Linked DNA regions of Diceros bicornis minor. The protein of the gene in region 1 interacts with the protein of each later gene in a pairwise test. Links are inferred from orthologs where the notes say so. Each region holds a gene or a part of one and is shown on either strand. Other genes may lie near its edges. The genes, in order: SUFU and RCN3.

Evidence for each region.
Region 2: the proteins of SUFU (region 1) and RCN3 interact in binary tests that used the Homo sapiens proteins (3 or more experiments, as listed by UniProt). The two-hybrid records come from large-scale screens. The link is inferred for Diceros bicornis minor from reciprocal best matches to the Homo sapiens genes SUFU and RCN3.

Annotation. Positions count from the first base shown.
Region 1 is NC_080745.1:67,462,795-67,466,698, reverse strand, and holds the start of SUFU (suppressor of fused homolog), read right to left. Parts: upstream 2,788-3,904; 5' UTR 2,644-2,787; coding exon 2,462-2,643; intron 1-2,461. UniProt on the Homo sapiens protein: Negative regulator in the hedgehog/smoothened signaling pathway. Down-regulates GLI1-mediated transactivation of target genes. Down-regulates GLI2-mediated transactivation of target genes. Part of a corepressor complex that acts on DNA-bound GLI1.
Region 2 is NC_080773.1:24,959,031-24,962,934, forward strand, and holds the start of RCN3 (reticulocalbin-3), read left to right. Parts: upstream 1-1,523; 5' UTR 1,524-1,605; intron 1,606-2,010; 5' UTR 2,011-2,016; coding exon 2,017-2,258; intron 2,259-3,904. Other genes in the region: FCGRT (IgG receptor FcRn large subunit p51), read left to right, coding at 165-281, 555-634. UniProt on the Homo sapiens protein: Probable molecular chaperone assisting protein biosynthesis and transport in the endoplasmic reticulum.

The DNA.
Region 1 (3,904 bases):
CCAAGCACAGACTGTAATATTCTACTTACTCAGAGACCTGACGGGAAGCAGACGAGTATACAGAAAATAATCATATTTTGCACTTAGAGAAAGATGTTATTCAAGGACCCAGAGCATCCCTCAACTTAATTCCTACAACACTTAACTCTGCAGGGCAGGTACAGGACTGGAGTGGCCCCAGAGCACAGGCTCTGCCTCTCTGCTTCTGCTCCCTGCTCACTAAAGTCTCCGCTTTCAGCCAGGATGTCCCTGCTGGCCAAGGACCACTAGCCAAAGAGCCACCCTTCTGTTGCAAGAAAAGGAATCCCAAGGTAACCTGGCCCACAGCCAGACCCAGGCAGCCTCAGTCTGTCATCCTGCCATGAGAACTGAAGAGGCCTTGTGGGACTCCAAATGTGAGGGATATCAATGAATTAATTTCAGGATCTTAATTACGCAACCCCCTTTGAATCTTAGAAAGAATCATTTGCTGAGCTGTCCCCTCTTACGTTTTTCTTCATCTAGGCAGCATTTCTAATTTCACAATCCTTTTTAGTCATCATTACATGCTGGCCCATCTCTGGCCTTCATCATTCACCGAGTCTAGACCATTAACAAGTTTGCAGCAAGAAGAAGAAAAAAAGTTGCCCAAACCAGTCTTAGTCCTTTGCACATGCTTCAATACCTTTTACACACAACTCTATCCTTCATGGCCAGTTGGGTGACATAAAAACAGTTGCCCAAGTCCGTGTAGGGATTTCTCCCTACACTCAAATGCGGCCTGAAAAAACAGTATGGCAGAGGCAGGCCCACTTTTCTCATGACACAATCCAACAGAGTTCATCACAATACATATTTAAATATAGAGGTGCAATTAGAATGGGTGATTAAGTTATCAAGAGCTGCTTTTCACTCAGAAGCTCTCTTCAAAAACTCCTCTCAACCAAAGAACAGTGTGCTTGCCAGAAAGAACTGTACCACTGGCCACACCTCCTCCGGCTACCAGACAGAGACAGGCTGCTCCTCGTGGCCCTCCCTAAGCAGCAGGTGGCTGGTCCTCAGGCCCTCCACACTGTCAGCCTCTTCACATCCTCCCATCGACACAGGGAGCTGGCCTCAGCCCTATCCAGCCTAGCTTCTGCCATCTCTGGAGGAAGTAAGAGGTTGTCATGTAGGAGAAAGACTCAGTCTTAAAGGGAAAGGTAATCAGCAAAGACATCCCCTTCATTCACTTCTACCTTGAGTCTACCTACCCCCTCTGCCACAGGCCAAGCAGATACCTGAAAAGTCTTCCAGGATTCAACAAAGGGACCATCTAATACAATGCTTGCATGAATGTGGTTCTGGACAGATTCAACCAATTCTTGTCAACTTTTGGTCCAGAAAGACCATGAAGACAGGCTCTTTTCCAGAGTCCCCACAACACCTGTTTTGCCCAGAGGCTGCAGGAAGAGACAGGTTGCAAACAGGAATGAGAAACTAGAAAAGACCATTCCTACCCCAAGGGCAGCCCATCTGTAAACAGGTCTAATCCTTAACAGAGCTACTTGAGGGTTACTCTCAGCTTCCCTGAGACACTGCTGCCTAAATCCTAAAGTTCGTGGCCAGGAAGTTCCTCTTAACATCACACTGCACTTCTTTCCTCTTTGTCTAACTCCCAGGTCTTCATCATTTACCGAGGTCTCCTTCAATCCTGACCCAAATCATGGATCTCCCTGACCCTGCCTGCCTCTGTTCTAGCCAATGACCTAAAGCAAAGCAGCTGCAGAGCCAGAGGAAGCTCTGCATGGAGAAAGAGAACTGTGCAGAGTAAGCAGAAAGTTTATCAGGAAAAGTTGCCCGGTGAAACTTCAAACGCAAAAGCATTGCACTGATATGATGTCTGAGCTCACTGGGAAGTATCAAAACGAGACCTCCTCCTCATCTCTTCACAAGCACGACGCTCACAGCTTGCTCCCCTCCTAACCCACAGGAGAGCCCGGGTCCCCAGACCGGCCCCAACCCTATGCTGTCTCGTGCCCTTTGAGCTCCTCCAGCCCGGCTCCTCCAAAGCTCTCTCATATGCTCCCCAGGCCCCGCCTCGCCTCCCTCATCCCGCTTCGGCCGCCCCTCCTTGGCTTCCCCTCGCCCACTAATGACCCCCTACAGGCGCCCCCTCCTTTCACCACGTTTACAGTTCCCTCTCTCCTACCGTTCCCCTCTCAGCTCCTACACACACCCCCAATTCACTTTATTCTCCTAATCTCAGTTAACCCTTCAGCCTTCCCTCCTTCGTTAACCCTTCGCTACCCACAGGCTCCGTTAACCCCTTTGTCCCCATTCGCAATTTGAGCCTTAACTCCTTCCCTCGCAGCAGGAAGCCCTCCTTCCAGTGCTTTAACCATTCTCTGTCTCCTCCTCCAACCTTGCAAATTACTTCGCCCCCGGCGCTTTAACCCTGCCCAGCCCGCCCCTGTCCGTCTCCCCGCGGCCCAGGGCATACCAGTACTTGACGATAGCGGTAACCTGGAGCGGGTTTGGCTGGTCAGGGTAAAGGCGGCGGCACTCTCCGTAGATGGCGTGCAGTCCCGGGGGGAAGAGCGAGGCGAAGGCCGGGGGGGCAGTAGGGCCAGGGGCCGGGGGCGCGGTGGGGCCGGGGGCGCCACTAGGCCGCAGCTCCGCCATCGGGGCGTGTAGGACGCTGGGGAAGCCAGGGAAGGCGGACGAGGCGAGAGCACTGACGCGCCAGCGGCGGACTCCGTGGGTGCGACTCCCCGAGGCGACGGGGGCTGCAGCGAGGTGTAGGCTTCGCGCCTGCGCACGGCGCACCGTCCGCCCTGGCAGTCGCCGCCGCAGAGACCGCCAGAGGGTGCCTCGGCGGCCGCGGGGCGCTCAAGGGGGCGGGGCGCCGGCGCGCCCTATCCCAGCATCCATTGGCTAGTGTCTGTGCCAGTCACAGGTAGGGAAGGCGTGACTTGACCATAGGTCCCGCCTCCCTCTGCCTGCGTTTGGGGTGTCCCAAGGCTCTTGGCCTCCCCCTAGTGTTAGGAGGAACCTAGACTTAAATAGAGATGTTGCGGCATGCTTCTGAGGTGCTAGGGTCTCACGAAAGCCGTGGAAAGTGCACCGACGAAAGGCTTCTCACTGTTTTGCTGACACGCTGCTAACAAGGATTTAAATATAAATCTGACAATAGATTGATTCATTCGTCCGTGTGGCATTAGTTTTATTTTATTATTATTATTTTTTTTTGTGAGGAAGATCAGCCCTGAGCTAACATCCATGCTAATCCTTCTCTTTTTGCTGAGGAATACCAGCTCTGAGCTAACATCTATTGCCAATCCTCCTCTTTCCCCCCCCCCCAAAGCCCCAGTAGATAGTTGTATGTCATAGTTGCACATCCTTCTAGTTGCTGTATGTGGGACGCCGCCTCAGCATGGCCGGAGAAGCGGTGCGTCCCTGCGCGCCCGGGATCCGAACCGGGGCCGCCAGTAGCGGAGCATGCACACTTAACCGCTAAGCCACGGGGCCAGCCCCTGGCATTAGTTTTAATAGATAACAAATCTGAACGTTACCTACCGTCTTTGAATGTCCATTGACTATATCGACTGACACTAACACCGCCAAATTCAGGGGTCATATTTTGAAATACCTATTTTGGAATTCTGTCAGAAAGTAACAAGAGTTAGGTAAACTAGGATCGATTAAAAAGACTTGGTAATTATTTAAAAAATGCTTTTAGTGAAGATGACAATCTCTTTTTTCTTCTGTTTTAGGCAGATGTCTGCAGATTACTTTGAGGAACATCATTATCTACTGTGGCCTGCCCTTCCCCATTACCTTGGCTCTCTGTAACTGGAAAAAAAGTTAATTTCGAAGGCACTGAGTTGGGAATTACTTTCCTGTTTACAATAACTTTTCATATAGTAATGTCTTCCACTCAATG
Region 2 (3,904 bases), on another chromosome or scaffold:
CCCGACCCAAAACATAAGCAGAAGCCTCTGCTCTGCCCATACCTACTTCCCGAAACTTGGTGCTGGGATTTCTGAGGTTGGGAGGGACTGAGAACCCCCAGTCCCCTGTCATGACTCAGATGGGGTAGAGCGTCCATTCAACATCTCACATTTTCTGGCCGCAGAATCACCAGCCAGATCCTCGCTGCAAGTAGTTGGAGTCGTCATCGGCATCTTGCTGCTCACGGCAGTGGCCGCAGGAGGAGCTCTGCTGTGGTGGAGGATGAGGAAGGGGCTGCCAGGTGTGGGGCAGGACGAGGGAAAGGACCCGGAAAGAGATGGGCACACAGTCCTGGGGGGGACAGAGATCTAGAGAGAGAGAGAGAGACTCAGGGAGAAGTGGGGACAGAGAACTGGAGGGAGAAACAGACTCAGAGGGGGATGGAAACCCACAGAGTAAAACAGAGAGTGAGGGTGAGAAAGACACACACCCAGGGAAACGGGGGGGAGGGGCAGTCAGAGACCCAGAGGAGCTCAGAGATTCTGATGACCTCCCTTCCTTCCTCTTTCCTCAGCCCCTTGGATCTCTCTCCGTGGGGACGATATAGGGGCCCTCCTGCCCACTCCTGGCCTGCCCAAGGATGCTGACTCTTAGAATATAAAATGCATTCCCAGCAACTTCGTGACCCCATCCCCCAGCCTGGCTGCTACCAGCTAATGTAGTCAGGTCCCTTTCATGCCGTGAGACCTCGTGATATCCTGGTATTTCTGAGCCTCCAGAAGGAGTCCTGAGCCCGATGCCCTTCCTCTGGATTCCTCCTCCTGTGGTCTGCCTCAGTTTCCCCTCCCATATGTATAGCTCTTTTCCACCTCCACGTATAACATGAATTTGGGCCCGAGGCATTGTGTTCTCATCATTTCAACTTTTTAGGCAGGGGAGGTAAGAGAATGGGTGGGGGGAATAAATGGTGTAAGCCCTGGGCTTCAGATCTCTCCTGCAGCTAACGTGTTGCGTGGTGGAATCTCCAGTTTTATATACCAAGTCATGTATTTTTCATTCATTAAATTTCACAAATGTTTACTGAATGCCTACACTGTGCCAGGCATTTTGAGGAATTGTTGGCTGGAGTCTGACCTGAATCCTTCTTGGTGGATCAGAAGAGAAGAGTTGTTCCCTCTTTGAGGGAAGGGGTGTTTCCTCTGGCCCCTGGGTTCCCCTCTTCCTGAAACCATCCCCACAAAGGGAAAGAGATAAAAATACAGCTCCCATGAGGCTTTGGACTTAGTACAACTAGAGGTGGTCGGGGAGGGCGCCCCGACGCCTGCCGGGAGTTGTAGTTCTCCCGGGCCGCGTCACTCCGGCGTCGCCCACCCCGCCTGCCCGGGGAAGGGGCAGGGCCGAACCTCGTGGGCCGCGCTTTCCTTTGTGGACGTGGCGAGGGGCGTCCGCGGCCGGCCCGGCGCTCTCTGGCCCCGCCCCGTGGGGGCCCTCCTGAGCGCTCATTGGTCGGAGGGCGGGGCCTCTGCGCTGCCGGGGGCGGGGCCTGGCTGGAGAGCCGCCAAGTTGGGCATCTTTTCGGAGAACGCAGAGGGAGCGTGGAGAGCCGCGTGAAGCCGGATAACGGGGTAAAAAGAGGCGGGGGCGGGTGTCCAGGGAGGGCTGTCCGGGTCCACGCGGGTCGAGGATTAGGGTCCAGGCTGGAAGCAACGCCCGGGAGCCTGCCTGGTTTCTCTCTAGCCGCGACCCCGCCCTGCACTTAGCGTGGGAAGTGCGCCACGTCTCCCGCTTGAATCCCCCGCTTGCGGCTCTGGGACCCCTCAGAAGAGTCAGTCCCCACAGCTGGTTTTACCTCTGAGAACCCCGCGCCCCTTTTCCCCCATCCCCGGCCCTTCTTGAGCCCCAAACTTTGCAGCCAGCTACCATCTCTCTGTCCTGTTCGGGGTCCCCCCCCTCCCCTGCTCCTCATCCTCCTGTCCCGTCCCTGTCCTTTTTCCTGTGACCCCTGACTCCTAGCCTCCGCCACTCCCCAGGGACTGATGATGTGGCGACCATCACTTCTGCTGCTGCTGTTGCTGCTCAGGCGCGGAGCCCAGGGGAAGCCGTCCCCTGACGCCGGACCTCACGGGCAGGGGAGGGTGCACCAGGCGGCCCCTCTGAGCGAGGCCCCTCATGATGACGCCCATGGGAACTTCCAGTACGACCATGAGGCTTTTCTGGGACGAGAAGTGGCCAAGGAATTTGACCAACTCAGCCCCGAGGAAAGCCGAACCCGTCTGGGGTAGGCGAGAGATGGGGGCCTGGGGGGGGGAATTCAGGGTTGTAATTTTAAACAAGGAGGTCACAGGAGGCCTCAGAGAGAAGGTAATATTTGAACCGTGTAGGTATATGGGGGAATAGCCTTCCAGGCAGAGGGAAATGTAAGTGCAAAGGCCCTGAGGCAGGAGTGGGCTGGATGTGTTTGAGGAACAGTGAGGCCCGTGTGGCTGGAACCCAGTGATGAAGGGAGCGGGTGGGAGGTGATGGCAGAGAAGGAACAAAGGTCGTGCAGGGCCATTGGGACCATAGTGAAGATTTAAGCTTTTCTCTGATGAGATGAGAGCCATGAGAGGGCTCTGAGCAGAGGGAGGACGTGAGCTGACTTAAGTTTTAACAGAATCCTTCTGGTTGCCAAGTGGGGAACAGACTATAGGGAGCAAGAAGCAGGGAGCCCAGTGAAGAAGCAACTTCAATTGTCCAGGTGGGACACAAGAGACGATGGCGGCGAGATCAGGGTGGAGACAGCGGTGGTCGACAGGTCAGCTGCTAGGAGATCGTGCGTGGATGGGGTTGGGTGAAGGAGGGGTGGGCGAGGGAGGGCAGTGACAGGCTAACACATTGGCATAGCGCTACAATGCCAGACACTGTTCTAAGTGCTTTCATTTAATCCCCACAACCACGCTGTGGGGTAGATCCTATCATTTGTCCCCATTTTACAGAGGGGGAAACTAAGGCACAGAGAGGTTGAGTGATTTGCCCATGGTCACACAGCCAGCAAGAGGAGGCTGCGGGACTTGAGCCTCGAATTCCTGGCTATGGAGCCCATACTCTTAACCACAGCTCGAACCGCAGGGTACAGTGTGAGTCCTGGGGACAGAGCCAGCCCCCGACCCATCAGAACAGAGACAGCCTGGCGCGGGAGGGGGCGGTGCCCTGGGCAGGGCCGTCTCGGATTCGATCCGGGGACCGGGTCTCGGGGGCTTAGGGACAGAGAGGAGGGCTCCATGTGGGCCCTGTTAGCGGTTGGGCGAGGACCCAGACCAGTGGCTGGGCGTGGCCAGGGGAGACGGGAGGGGCCTGGGAGCCGACAGGAGCGGCCCGAGGGAAGGGGCGTGAGGTGGGAGCTCGATTTGAGATGCGGAGGCGCCCAGGATTAGGCTGAAGCACGGGGAGTGGGGCGTGCAGGCCCAGCCCGCGGGGTTGCGCATGGTGGTCCTAGGGCAATGCCTGACGACGGCTGGGGGAAGGTGGGGAAAGGGGCGGGGCGCAGCATGGGGCGGGGCTGGAGGGAGAGGGGCCTGCAATTGACGCGCGCAGCCATGGAGGGGGCGGAGCAGGGGCCGGGGTTAGAGCGGAGGATCCGAAGACCAGCAGAAACAGGGGAGAGGGCCGGGCCTGAGACAGCGAGAGGTCGGGGGCGCCATGGCAGCCGGAGTTCAGAGGGAGTCTTGAGACAGGAGCCCTGAGGGCGAGGGGCGCAGTGTGGCGCCTAGCCCCCTGACCCCACTCCAACTCGGTCGAGCAAGAGGAGGAGCACGTGCAGGATCGAAGGGCGGGGCCAGAGTGGAGGGTGTGGCCCTGGATTGTCGTAGGTCCTTCCCCCAACCCGGGCGTGTCCTGGGCGGCAGCTACAGCCATAGGCCCCCTGTGTCTCGGAAAGGGCGGGAG